Linked DNA regions of Ovis aries. The protein of the gene in region 2 interacts with the protein of the main gene of each other region in a biochemical or structural test. Links are inferred from orthologs where the notes say so. Each region holds a gene or a part of one and is shown on either strand. Other genes may lie near its edges.

The links.
Region 1: the proteins of LRRK1 (region 2) and CKAP2 form a complex in vitro, tested with the Homo sapiens proteins (2 studies listed by BioGRID and IntAct, with this or other methods). The link is inferred for Ovis aries from reciprocal best matches to the Homo sapiens genes LRRK1 and CKAP2.
Region 3: the proteins of LRRK1 (region 2) and CIMIP4 form a complex in vitro, tested with the Homo sapiens proteins (2 studies listed by BioGRID and IntAct, with this or other methods). The link is inferred for Ovis aries from reciprocal best matches to the Homo sapiens genes LRRK1 and CIMIP4.

What each region holds. Positions count from the first base shown.
Region 1 is NC_056063.1:21,853,764-21,858,283, forward strand, and holds part of CKAP2 (cytoskeleton-associated protein 2), read right to left. Parts: intron 1,469-4,520; coding exon 1,390-1,468; intron 1,269-1,389; coding exon 409-1,268; intron 1-408. UniProt on the Homo sapiens protein: Possesses microtubule stabilizing properties. Involved in regulating aneuploidy, cell cycling, and cell death in a p53/TP53-dependent manner.
Region 2 is NC_056071.1:5,009,909-5,014,528, reverse strand, and holds the start of LRRK1 (leucine-rich repeat serine/threonine-protein kinase 1), read left to right. Parts: upstream 1-1,541; 5' UTR 1,542-1,749; intron 1,750-2,089; exon of another isoform or gene 2,090-3,279; intron 3,280-4,204; exon of another isoform or gene 4,205-4,371; intron 4,372-4,620.
Region 3 is NC_056056.1:181,047,807-181,051,929, reverse strand, and holds the end of CIMIP4 (ciliary microtubule inner protein 4), read left to right. Parts: intron 1-1,550; coding exon 1,551-1,714; intron 1,715-3,022; coding exon 3,023-3,134; downstream 3,135-4,123.

The DNA.
Region 1 (4,520 bases), on a different chromosome or scaffold from region 2:
ACATGTTTTGGTTTGGTTTTAGTCGCTAAGTCATATCTGACTCTTTGCAACCCCATGGACTGTAACCCATCAGGCTCCTCTGTCCATGGGATTATCCTGGCAAGAATACTGGAGTGGGTTGCCATTTCCTTCTGCAGGGTTTCTTCCCAACCCAGGGATCAAACCTGTGTCTTCTGCATCACAGGTGGATTCTTTACCACTGAGCCACCAGGGAAGCCCCATTAAACATACTCAAGCATAGTAACTTAGGATATACTGTTCCACAATATAAATAGGCTTAGACTGATCTGCATATGAAGAGAATCCATGTACAAAAGACTTGAATACTCTAATATCAAGGAAATGATAAGCTGAACTTACAAATGGTACTCTACTGAAAATTGCGCTAATAAAATCACATCTACTTACTTTCTCTCCTCCGCAGTTTCTCTGGGCTGAGTCCATCTACTGTCAACAGCTGCTTTCACCGTAGTGTGTCTGCGCTGCTCAGCACTCTTTGACTTTTCTATCAGTTTAGTATTAGCAGATGAAGCAGGCCTGGCCGCCATTCCAGCTGCCATGCTTTTTGATAGTGTCTTATCTCCTTTCATGTCCTGCGAAGAACTGGTCTTGATGCCAGACAAAACTGTATTTAACTCCTTCTCTCGAGGCCCTTTCCGAACTGTGACATTGGCTGACATCCTGCTGCTGCCCGGTTTCATGGCGTCCTGGGCTTTATTGTGCTGACTTCTAATAGGAGGTCGCACAAGGTGTCGGATCTGAGATGTAGTGCTTGCAAATTTAGTGGCAGATGTCATATGTGAGGCTCTATCACTTTTCACTGTTACGCTGCTGACGTCTCCAGGCTGAGGCTTGGTGGCTTTAGAGACAGTCGCTGGAAGTTTCTTGGTTGTTGCAGAACTCTCATCTTTGACTTGCAGTGGTTTTCTAAAGGAATTAATCTTAGACTGGACAATTTGGCCACGATATGCTCCAAGCACAGGTTTCTTGGGCACGTTAGCATCGTGCTTTGGTTTTTCTGTAATCACTGTGTTTTTTTTACTGTTGTTTTTAAGGTGAAATGTTTGGCTTAATGTTCTATGTTGACCTTGCGGGTCATCTTTAACTGGTAACGATGGCAGAGTTTGATTATTATCCTCAGAATTAGGTGGATCCGTGGCTATGGTTGAATTGGTTAATTCATTAGAAGGTTTTAAAGGAATACAGTTTTTTTCCACTGTTAAATTATTTTTGATCCCGATAGGTCTACCGACATTCTCTTTATCAGCCTAAAAGAGTTATTTAAGACAAATCAGTATTTTAGAATTTCTTTCTTTTAGAAAGAGTGTAGGGGAAAAAACCTTCTTTAGGGATGAGGGAAAAGGGATGGAGAGCTACTCCGTATCTTACCATTTTTGTCTTTATTTTCAGAACTTTTTTCCCTTCTTGGATCTGGCCTTCAGATGTCCTGACTCTCTGATCTCCATCACTTTAAAAAAAAAAATCCACATGCTTTTAGATAATGCTTCCTTTTTGGGGGGAGGTATAGGATCATGTAACTATTCTCTGACTTGGTAGTTCTAAATTGAGGCAAGAACTGAGCTGAGATTGACTTGTTCTAAGCAAAACTTTTCTTTATTGTAGGGTGATTTAAAGCGTAAACAACATGGCTAGGGAAAAAGTAAAGATATTTTCTTACAAGATCTTAAACCCTCCCCCCACAATCTCATTCTAAACCATTCTCTAGTTGTTCAAACAAGTCTTCAAAAATCTTTGTTAAGCAACACTTTCTTTGGTTAGTTTTAAGTACCTGGTACCAGACTTACCTTGAAAAAAATTATTTTAAAACAGCTCTCCCAAAAGAAATCCAAAAATTTTCAAACACACAATTTATTAATTAATGTGTATTTTAGTTTCTAGATGGCATTGCATTTAGACTATACATCCCAAGCAAAGGGTTCTTCAAGAATTAAACCTAGGAATAAGATGGCAGATGAGCAGGTGGACGTGGAGTCTCTCTCTCTCCACAGATACATCAGGAATACACCTTCAGACACAGAAGTGCATGCAGAACACCAGCTGAGAGCGGACAGGAGTCCCTGACCAGTGTAAAGAATATACAGACCCACGCAAAACTCAGTAGAATGAAGGAACTAGAAGGAAAAACAGGAGTGTTAGTTAGGACAGGGCCTGCCCTAAGTGGGTGGGGGAACTGCAACACGGGTCTGATCCCCACACTGGGGCAACTGTCTGAGTCAGAGGAGAAACATTTAAGGCTGAGAGTGAAACAGCTGATCTGTGGCAGCCTAAACGGAATGAGACTCAGACAGTCCTTGCTGCAGCCATACATCCCCCAGACAGGGCCATAGATCCCCTGGAAGGCGCAGCGGCTGGGAGCTGGAGCAATCCCAGGGCAAGGGCTGCTGCTGACTGCAGAGAGACGGGTTGAGGGGATGTGAGGGAAGAGACTGTGGTGGGAAACGCCTGCGGAGGAAAGCCAGGCAGCCATGGAAGCAGGGCGATACTGCTGAGTCCCGTGAAGGAGGTGCAGCCATCACCATAGCCTCTCTCCTGCCACAGGCCAGCACTGTCCGCTGAACAAGAGAGGCTGGCCCGTCAAACGCCTGATGCACTGAACTAGAGAGCAGGATCCCACCCAGGGTGCCCCTTTAAGTGCCTGATGCACCAGTCTATAGAGTAGGGCCCCAGCCAGGGGGGGCCCCTCTATGTGCCTGATGCCCCGAACAACAGAGAAGGACCCCAGGCAAGGGAGCCCTCTAAGTGCCTGAAGGAGCAGAGCTATAGAGAAAGACTGGCCAAAGAAGCCTTCTGATCGCCAGCTACAAGAGGCTTGAAAAAAGACCCTGATAGGGCCATAACTCCTGTGACAGAGGCAGTCCGTGCCCCTGCATACTGGTGCCACCAGGGTCCCCCAAGTCAAGCAGCTGCGCCACCTTCACGCTCAACTCTCACGGGGGCAGAGCTGCCACAGGCACAAAAGCCTTGTGTCTTTCCGCACAGGGTTGCTTTGGTAGTGTCCAACTCTGCAACTCTGTAGACTGTGGCCTGCCAGGCTTCTCTGTCATGGAGGGGTTCTCCACGCAAGAATACTGGAGTGTATTGGCCAGGGCGGGTTGCCATACCCTTCTAGAGCACAATATTCCCTGCTGCCCTAGCCGCCAACTCCCGAGTACCTGGTGCTGCCAGGACCCCTGTGACCCATGCACCACCTCCACACGTGGCCCTCACAGGGCAAACCCAAGTCCTCCAGGGCAGCCTCAGGAGTAAACCCCAGTGGACGACCCACATGCAGAGGTGGGAATAAAACCACAATGGAAACCCAGGGGCAATGTGGCTAAGGAAGAAGACCCAAAACCTTCCCAGCAGCTGTACAGCTGCAGATTAAATCCACAGGATCAACTATGTAGACTCTATCTATGGAATATATAAAAGGTCATTGAGAGCTCCCACAAAAGAAAACGTACTAGTTCTGACAGCTGTGGACATTGGAGGCAGGAACACAGAGTAAGACCAGATTAGCATCTGAGCCCACAGCAGGTCCAGGGATCAGCACAGTGTTGGAGGGCATCCTAGGCAGGTGAGGTGGACTGTCACTCCCAGGGAGGGAAAGGACTCTGACAGCAGTGCCTCAAGAAAAACATTTATTATTCTTATGTTTTGACTTGTTCTGTAGAGTCTATTTTTTTTCTTTTTTCTCCCCTCTTTTGTAGTTGTCAATTTTATTGGCACTATGAAATCTAATTGAGCTTTTGAGCTTTTTTATTCTTTTTCTTCTCAGTCACATTTTTTATTGTTGTATAAACCTCTGCCTCTACATTGGGCTTTTGCAGTTCTGGAGAGTTTTTTTTTCTTTTCTCTTTTTAAGATTTTTTAAACCTATTATTATTTTTCCTACATTTATTCCTTTGCTGGCTTTTCCTACTGTTCTTTTTTCCTTGCAGTTCATCTTGAATGTATATAAATCATCTTTACCTGCCTCTGTTTAGCCTTGCATATCTATTCTTTCTCTCTTTTCCTCTCAACATATTTGTTAGTTTTCATTGCTTCATTCCCCAATTGGCACCTCGCTTTAGTTTTGTTTTCCAGTTTGTTCTTTAGATAGTTTTGTTCTGGTAGAGATAATTTTTGGTTTCCTTTGTCTGCTGGGTCAATCTGCTGCATTTTATTTTTGTTGGACTGTTTTCATTTTGCTTATGGGTATATATGTGTATATTCAATCACACTTTTATTTTTATTATTGTTACAAACCTCTGCCTTTGCATTGGGCTTTTGCAATTCTGTTGAGTTATGCTTTTTTTCTTTCTTCTTTCTTTTCTTTTCTCTTTTTTTTATAATTTTAACTTAAAATTTTTTAACATTTTTTTCTACATTTATTCCTTTGTTTGCCTTTCCTACTGTTCTTTCCTCTTGCAATTAATCTTTCCTAATATACCTCTATTTAACTTTGCATATCTATTCTTTCTTTTCTTTCCTCTCAAAATACTTGTTAGTTTTGTTTTCATTGCTTTATTACCCACTTG
Region 2 (4,620 bases):
GTGAGTGTGCAGAATGTGGGAAGGTTGCTTGGGGACTCAGGGAAACACTGCGTCCTGCAACTGTGCGCATAAGTGTTCATGTCTGTCCCTTTTCTCCATGAGGATCTCTGTGTTTGTGTCTAAATTACCCAGAGTTTCTAAGGCTTCAGACCAGTAAGCCTCAATCACTGAGTTGTACACTGACACTGAGGTTAGATGAAGAATATTTCTGTACTTGGTTAGGTCCACCGTGTTCAACCATGCCTTGGATAAGATCCATCTTAATTTATGCACTTGTGTATGTTTGAATGCATTTAGAAACCTTCCATTTCCCAACCAAAATGTGAGCAACACATTCAAGGAAAACAGCAATTCCTTTGTTTGTCATTACCACAAGAGGAACCATTTTGAGGACATACACTGTGGCTATGGTGTGTGTGTGTGCATGTGTGTGTGCAGTGCCTTTTGGGGTGGGGACAGTAAGTTGGGACATTCTCTAAAAGTGGACCCTTTGAAACACCCAAGCTTCTCCCAATGGCAGGCTGAGCCCTTTTGACGTTCTTGCTCCTATCATGTCTTGATAATAAGGGACATTTTTTAAGTGTCCCAGGAGAAATATCAGTGGAAACTGAATACCCAGCTGAAGGAAGGTGACTAGAAACTGAGGGCCTATTATACAGAGTAAAGTAAGTCAGAAAGAGAAAAACAAATATCATATATTAATGCGTATATATGAAATCTAGAAGGATGGTGGGAAGGATGCTGGGAAAGGTTGAAGGCAGGAGGAGAAGGGGACAAAGAGGATGAGATGGTTGGATGGCATCACCAACTCGATGGGCATGAGTTTGAGCAGACTCTGGAAGATGGTGAAGGGCAGGAAAGCTTGCCGTGCTGCAGTCCATGGGCTCACAAAGAATCAGACACGACTGAGAGACTGAAGGACAACAAAAAGTATGGTGCTGATGAAGCTGTTTGTAGGGCAGCAATGGAGACGCATAGAGAACAGACTTGTGGACACAGCTGGGAAAGGAGAGAATTGGGAGAGTAGCATTGAAACATATACTTTACATATGCAAAATGAATAGCCAGTGGGAATTGGCAGGGAGCTCAGGCCCTTTGGTCTGTGACAACCTAGAGGGGTGGGAATGGGTGGGAGGGTGGAGGGAGGTTCAAGAGGGAGGGGATGTGTGTATACAGCTGATTCATGCTGATGCGTGGCAGAACCCAACTGAATGTTGTAAAGCAATTATCCTTCAATTAAAGGAAAAAAACTACTACACCTTCAGAAGGCAGAAAGGGTAGCTCAGGGAGGTAGCTTCCAATGGACCCCACCGTGAAAGTGAAAGTCGCTTGGTCCTGACCGACTCTTTGCCTCCAGGCCAGAATACTGGGGTGGTAGCTGCTCCCTTCTCCAGGGGATCTTCCCAACCCAGCAATGGAACCCAGGTCTCCCGCATTGCAAGCGGATTCTTTACCGTCTGAGTCACCAGGGAAACCCCTCCCTGCCTCCATTACCTACTTAGGAGAAAACTTAGAAAGCGAAAGCGAAAGTGACTCAGTCGTGTCCCAGTCTTTTTCTCCAGGCCAGATCACTGGAGTGGGTAGCCGGTCCCCTCTCCAGGGGATCTTCCCCATCCAGGGATAGAACTCAGGAATCCTGCGCTGCAGGTGGATTCTTTACCAGCATTCCAACATGAGACGTTGGTCAGCGGGGGTTAAGAAGCATAAAGAAATCTTAACTGACCTGTAACAATCGCCTCACGCAAACCTGTAAGTAACGCATGCCAAGGGTAAGGTTAAATGCTGGGATACAGCCAGCTCGAAACAGGCCACCCATGTGACAAGTTATTTCTACCTTGGACACATTTCTAAGCGGATGGCAAGCTCATTTAAAAAGGGCTTGTCCTCACCTCCGTGGGCCGCGTCTGCCCCCTGGTCCGCCGGTCACCCGGCGCGCACTTCCTCGCGGTCCCGCTAGATGGCAGGACCGGGCTCCTAGGGGTGGGGGTGGGCGCCGCGCCGCGATCGCCAGGCTCACTCGGCACCGTGGACGCCACGCCCTGCAAATTATTAGGGACTTTTCGTTAGCGACCAAACTGCCGCCTTTTGCATATTGGAATTAGAACCGCGGTGGTGAAGGCAGGGTTGCAGAACTGCACCCTCCCTTTTGGAGGGGCGTGTGGCCCGGGAGAGCCGACGGGGCAGCCTCTTGGGCGCAAACCTCAGCTGCCCCGTGGTCCCCTCTTCGAACAGGGACCCAAGGAACTCGTCCATGGTGACCGCTCAAAGTGTCTGCGAGGTCGTGGAGGCGGGAGCTGGCTGCTGCTGGCCGGCTTTTGTGAAACGGCAGTGAGGATGCTGGCGATTTGTCTCTGAGCCTTGGGATAAACCCTGGGAATGTTCCAGTCATAGCCGAACACGGGAGGAACCTGGGGTGCGCAGATCCTGCCAGGGTGCAGGACCATCCGCTTTTTCCGAAGAAGTCTTCTCTTTCCCTGGCGGGCACGTGGAGCCCAATCTAAAGCCTGCCCGCCCGCATGGACGTACATCATTATGATCTGTCTTTGGACAATGGCCTTAATTGTGGGTACATCTTTTTATTAGGTTGAAATAGAAATTGCCTACACTCCAGCAGGTTTATCTACCACCGCCACCCCCAAAATAGACCCAGACAATTTAAAATGATTCACCAGTGATATCTTTGTGTGTATCCGTAATTTAGTAAATCCATGTGGTGGAAGGGTTGAGGTTTGCAAACTATTAAAGTTTTACATTTCATACGTCTAGTCTGCTGTAGAAAAAGTTGTACACAAACGAATATTCCTGTCTTTTGAGTATTTACTGCCTCCATAGACGAGTCCGGAGTTCACCAGCGGATTTCGCTGCTGAGCGGAACAGAGGGGCAGGGAAAGCTGGGCTGCGCCGAAAACCGACCAATCTCGCCGCTGAGACTGCCCTGCCGGAGGGCAGGGGACCCAGACCCGGAGGAGACCGGCGCTGGGGGCGCCTGCGGACCCCGTGGCCTCCGGGGTCTCGGTGAGGGAAGCCGGCGGGCGAGCGCAGGGGCTTCCCGCGCGCGCTCTGCGGAGGCCTCTCGGAGGCCGCCCCTCGCCCCGCGCGCCGCCCGCCCCGCTCAGGATTGAGGAAGTGAGTCTGGCCCGGCCCGGCCCCCGGCGCACGGCCGGAGCCTCCTCGGAGGAGGGCAGAGGGGCGGCCCGGCCCCGAGCGCCGCCGTCCGCCCGGCCCCGCGCAGCCCGCGCCCCAGGCGCCCGCTGCCCTGCCCGCCGCCGCCGCCCGCAGGTAAGCGCTGCCCCGCCGCAGCCGGCGCGGAGTCCCAGCCCCGCCGCCCAGGCCCCGCGCGGGAAGCGTCTCCCCCGCCCTCCGCGGCGCACTGCCCTGCGTCTCCCGCCGCGCCCTCGGGCTGGAGGGTTCGGGGGGGGCGCAGGCCGGCGCCCGGGCCGGGGGAGCGGGCGAAAGCCACAAAAGGAAGAGGCGCCGAGGCGTCCGCACGGTTCCTCCGCCCTTAGAGAAGCCCCCGCCTTCGAGCGGGCGCGCGTGTGCGCCGGGTGTGTGAGTGCGGGGCGGCGCGGGGGCGCGGCCCGGGACGGCCTGGCGGCGCCGGGCGCCCGGGCGCCGTCTCCCCCACCCCGAGTCCGGGACGGAACCCGCCTTCTCCTGGCGGCCTCTGCGGGCGACCTTCCGCGTGGGATGAGTGTGATCGCGGCCGGGGAAGGCCGGGGACCCCAGGGGGGACGGTGGTGACCGAGGCTCTGGGATCTCTGCGGTCCGCTCACCCTGCCCGTCCACCTTGTGAGGCCGGCGAGTTTTTCTCCCATAAGCATCGGAGATGTAAGGAAATAGGAGCGTGCAGTTACGTTTTCAGCGAGCTTTTCACCAAATGCATTGTCTTTAGAGTTTGCCACTCACTCCCATTGTATCCAGATTCCCTGGGCGTTACAGGGGCAGATGGCAACCCACTCCAGTATTCTTGCCTGGAGAATCCCATGGACGGGGGAGCATGGTAGGCTACAGCCCGCGGGGTCGCAAAGAGTCAGACACGACTGATCGACTTCACTTAAAGGGGCAACTAGAATACGCACGATTTTGAAAAATGCTAACATTCAACTTCTTTTGTGGTCTGATTTAATTATCCTTGTGAATGTCCTAAAAGAATAAAAAATTCAGTTGAAAACATACAAACCTCACACTCAGTTTGTCCCTACAGGTTTGTGGGCCTGCCAAACCTCTCCCTCAGGCTTCCACACCTCAGGGAGCGGCCCTAGTACTCAGATCAAAGCCTGAGACATAAAAACCTGGGAGCTGTCTTCCCTCCCGTGTTCTCATCCCTTGAGTTCAGTTATTGGCAAGGACTGTTGAGTCGTCCTCTCAAAGGTAATGTTCAGGTCCAGCCCCTTCTCCCTCGCCAGCGTCTCTTCCCTACAATTGTAGCTCTCCCCTCCCCCATTCTCTGTTTGGGAGCCGGAGTATAGCTGGAGTGATTTATTGTTTAAAAAGGAAAATTAGAGAGTGTCAGTCCTCTACTCGGAATCCTCAATAGTTTCCTCTTGTGCTTGGCATGAAATCCCAAAGACCTCCTTCCCCTCTCATCCCCCAGTTGATCTGGCCTCTGCCATCTGAGAC
Region 3 (4,123 bases), on a different chromosome or scaffold from region 2:
CTCTGAACCCAGTCTCTACATCCGTCAAGTGAGGCTGACTAGATCAGGCTGGCAAATAACAGAGCCTGAATTCACGGCAGACGTCACCAATCAATGCTGGCCTTTTCCCCCCACTTGATACATCATTGCAGGAACTCTGTGCTGATCAACTGAAAGTTGAGAGAAAACTTACCTGCCTACCTGCCACTTCTGGTCAAACAGATATTTTGAGGCATTTTGAGACATATTTTCAGTCACCATCTCAGCCCTCATAATGGATACATTATATAGCAGGCCGGGCGCTAGTCATTGTTTCTTTTTTTGCTGTTGTTCAGTGGCTAAGTCATGTCCAACTCTTTTCAACCCCATGGACTGCAGCACACCAGGCTCCCCTGTCCTTCACCATCTTTTTTAACAGATGATAAATCTGGAGCTCAGAGAGGTGAAATGATCTGCCTGGGGTCACAGAACAAGTAGAAGAGCCAGGGTCAGAAAGGCTATGGGTGGGTCCCTTTCTACTTTATCATCTTAAGGTGGGGTGACCCTTGCACCTCTTAGTTTGGGAGGTCAAAATCCTAAACTCCAGACTCCACTTGGAGGATCTTGCCCCAGCTTGAGGTTGACAGTATGGTCATTATCTCTCTCTGTCCTTCTTCGCTTAAGGAACGTGCCATTTCTCTCTCTGGCCATCATTGTCTTGGGCTTAAATGAAGAGATCTGTGTTTTGTTTTGGTTTAAATCCAGCTGTGACCCAGATCACAAGTGTCATCAGGCCAGCAAATATTAGAACTGGAAGTTATTTCAAAGACCACCCAGTTCTACCTCCACCCTCATTTCAAGAGTAGGGGAACTGAGGCCCAGAGGGGAGCAGAGACTTGCCCAAATTAGCAGCTGGTATATGGCAGAGTTGGGACCCAAACCAGGTTCCTGGCTCCTAGGCCTGGGCTCAACCACTCCTACCATTGTAGGAGGCCAACCAGGACTTCCTTCTCTAGCTGTATGCTGGATTGAGTCCCTGCCCTGAGGCCCAGTTTCCTTCTTTATGAATTGTGGAAATAATACCACCTTATAAACATGTCCCCTGGTGCTGTTCCATAGGGCTTCCCTGGTAGCTCACATGGTAAAGAATCCTCCTGCAATGCAGAAGACCTGGGTTTAATTCCTGGGTCAGAAAGATCCCTTGGAGAAGGGAATGGCAACCCACTCCAGTATTCTTGCCTGGAAAATCCCATGGACAGAGGAGCCTGGTGGGCTATAGTCCATGGGATTGCAAAGAGTTGGACAAGACTGAGCAACTGACACATTCACACGTTCAGTGTGGGGAGAAGTTTTCATGATCATTTTCTTCCTTGATGCCTGAGGCCCATGTGAAAGCTGAGGTGGTATGGGAGGGTGAGGGCGTTCAGCTATGCCAGCTCCCAGGACTGGGAGTTGGTTGAAGGCTGCAGGCTTAGGGTGGGGAGGAGTGGTGAGGGCAGGCTCCAAGGGAGGAGAAATTAGAGGGGAGCTGTGGGATTCACTTTGCTTCCCTTCCTTTTGTCTTCTCTCTCCCTCCTTCCCTTCCTGCTTAGGCGCGAAAGGCCATTGGGGAAGCCTTGGAGGGCCAGAAGAGGGCAAGCTCATGGCCCAGCAGGATCCAGAGCCCCACGGAAATTACCTCCATCTTTTCAGACTACTATGATCTGGGCTATAACATGCGTTCAAACTTGTTTCAAGGTCAGGCCAAAAGACAAGGGTATGGGCTATGAAAACCCACAGCCTTCAAGCTATTGGGCCAGAAAGGACCTGGATTCCCAAAGGAATCTAAGACCCCAGGATACATCCCCAGGGACACTCACTTGACAGCCACCAAGGGCCACCTGTATGCCAGGCCTTGTGCCAAGTGCTGGGGATGTCCAGTCCCCTGGCCACGTCTGTCCTCACGGAGCAGATGGTCCCTCCCAGTTGACAGTCAGCCCTACCTCCCCCTGTCCCTCTGGTGTCCTAATCTGCCACGAGGAGGCCAGTGGATCTCTGGTCTGGCCTGCTTTGATTACAGTGACAGTATCAGACTTCCTGGGTTCAAAATTCAGCTTAGCCAATGGGTATGGCCTCAGGCAGGATCCTTAACCTCTCTGAGCCTCAGCCAGCTTTCTTGGTTGTTGTTATTTAGTTGCTGAGTCATGTTCATCTCTTTGCGACCCCATGGACTGCAGCATGCCAAGCTCCTCTGTCCTCCACTGTCTCTCAGAGTTTGTTCAAATTCATATCCATTGCATCAGTGATGCTATCTACTCATCTCATCCTCTGCCTCCCTCTTATCCTTTTGCCTTCAACCTTTCCCAGAATCACAGTCTTTTCCAATGAATTGGTTCTTTCCATTAGGTGGCCAAAGTATTGAAGATTCAGCTTCAGCAATAATCTTGCCAATGACTATTCAGGGTTGATTTCCTTTAGAATTGACTGATTTGACAATCTTGCAGTTCAAGAGACTCAAGAGTCTTCTCTAGCACCACAATTTGAAAGCATCAATTCTTCATCACTCAGCCTTCTTTACGGTCCTTCTTTATGTACTTTCTTGGTACAATGGGGCTTATAACATGACAGGATTTTATGAGGAATCAGCTTACTATCTGACAGGCCAGTATTTTTCTTTCCCAGAGCCCAGCGGGGGCACCTCCGGGGCAAAGTATGTGTCAGAGGCCAAGACATCTGCAGTAAGTTCTGTGGGCCTCTGAGGTCCTATTTGTCAGAGGAGTACCCCTAGCTCCATCTCACAGGCTGATGGGAAACAATTTCCCCAGGGCTTCTTGGTCATACAAGGTAGATCTGAAACTCAAATCCAGGTTTTCCTTCCACCTGCAAAGCCCCAGAGTCTTTTCCCAGTACTTGGCCACCTCCCAAAATATGACCCTGTTCCCAGGGGTCTGATTGCTCGGATGGGGGTCCTTGGTGAGCAAGGGGCAGCTTCTCTCTGTCCCCACATTCAATTTTGGCCTCATTGCAAAATATCAAGTCTTTCTGGCCCCTTTCTTTCCTCCCTCCTTACTCTGTGCCTTCTCAGTGTCCTCGGGGCCTGGCAAACCTCCTACCTGGCTCAGATCCTCATCACCCAAGGAACTAGACAACCACTGGAAAACTTTCTGAGTTTTCCTTTGAGCTTGAAGAAGAAGTAGTGCTTGGGGAGAGAAGAGAGAATACAGCCTCAGATTGTCCCTTTCTGAGTCTTGGGAGTTGGCCTTCCATTACAATTATCACTCAGTAATTTTATGTATGTCTTTATATGGTATGTTTGAAGTGAAGAGAAGTCACTCAGTTGTATCAGACTCTTTGTGACCCATGGACTGTAGCCTACCAGGCTCCTCTGTCCATGGGATTTTCCAAGCAAGAATACTGGAGTGGGTTGCCGTTTCCTTCTCCACAAGATCTTCCTGACCCAGGGATCGAATCCAGGTCTCCTGCATTGTAGGCAGACGCTTTACTGTCTGAGCCACCAGGGAAGTCTCTCAGTTCAGTTCAGTTCAGTTCAGTTGCTCAGTCGTGTCCGACTCTTTGCGACCCCATGAATTGTAGCACACCAGGCCCCCCTGTCCATCACCATCTCCCAGAGTTCACTCAAACTCACCTCCATCGAGTCAGTGATGCCATCCAGCCATCTCATCCTTTGTCGTCCCCTTCTCCTGTCCCCAATCCCTCCCAGCATCAGAGTCTTTTCCAATGAGTCAACTCTTTGCATGAGGTGGCCAAAGTACTGGAGTTTCAGCTTTAGCATCATTCCTTCCAAAGAAATCCCAGGGCTTATCTCCTTGAGAATGGACTGGTGGGATCTCCTTGCAGTCCAAGGGACTCTCAAGAGTCTTCTCCAACACCACAGTTCAAAAGCATCAATTCTTCGGTGCTCAGCTTTCTTCACAGTCCAACTCTCACATCCATACATAACTAATGGAAAAACCATAGCCTTGACTAGACGGACCTTTGTTGGCAAAGTAATGCCTCTGCTTTTGAATATGCTATCTAGGTTGGTCATAACTTTCCTTCCAAGGAATAAGCGTCTTTTAATTTCATGGCTGCAATCACCATCTGCAGTGATTTTGGAGCCCCCAAAAATAAAGTCTGACACTGTTTCCACTGTTTCCCCATCTATTTCCCATGAAGTGATGGGACC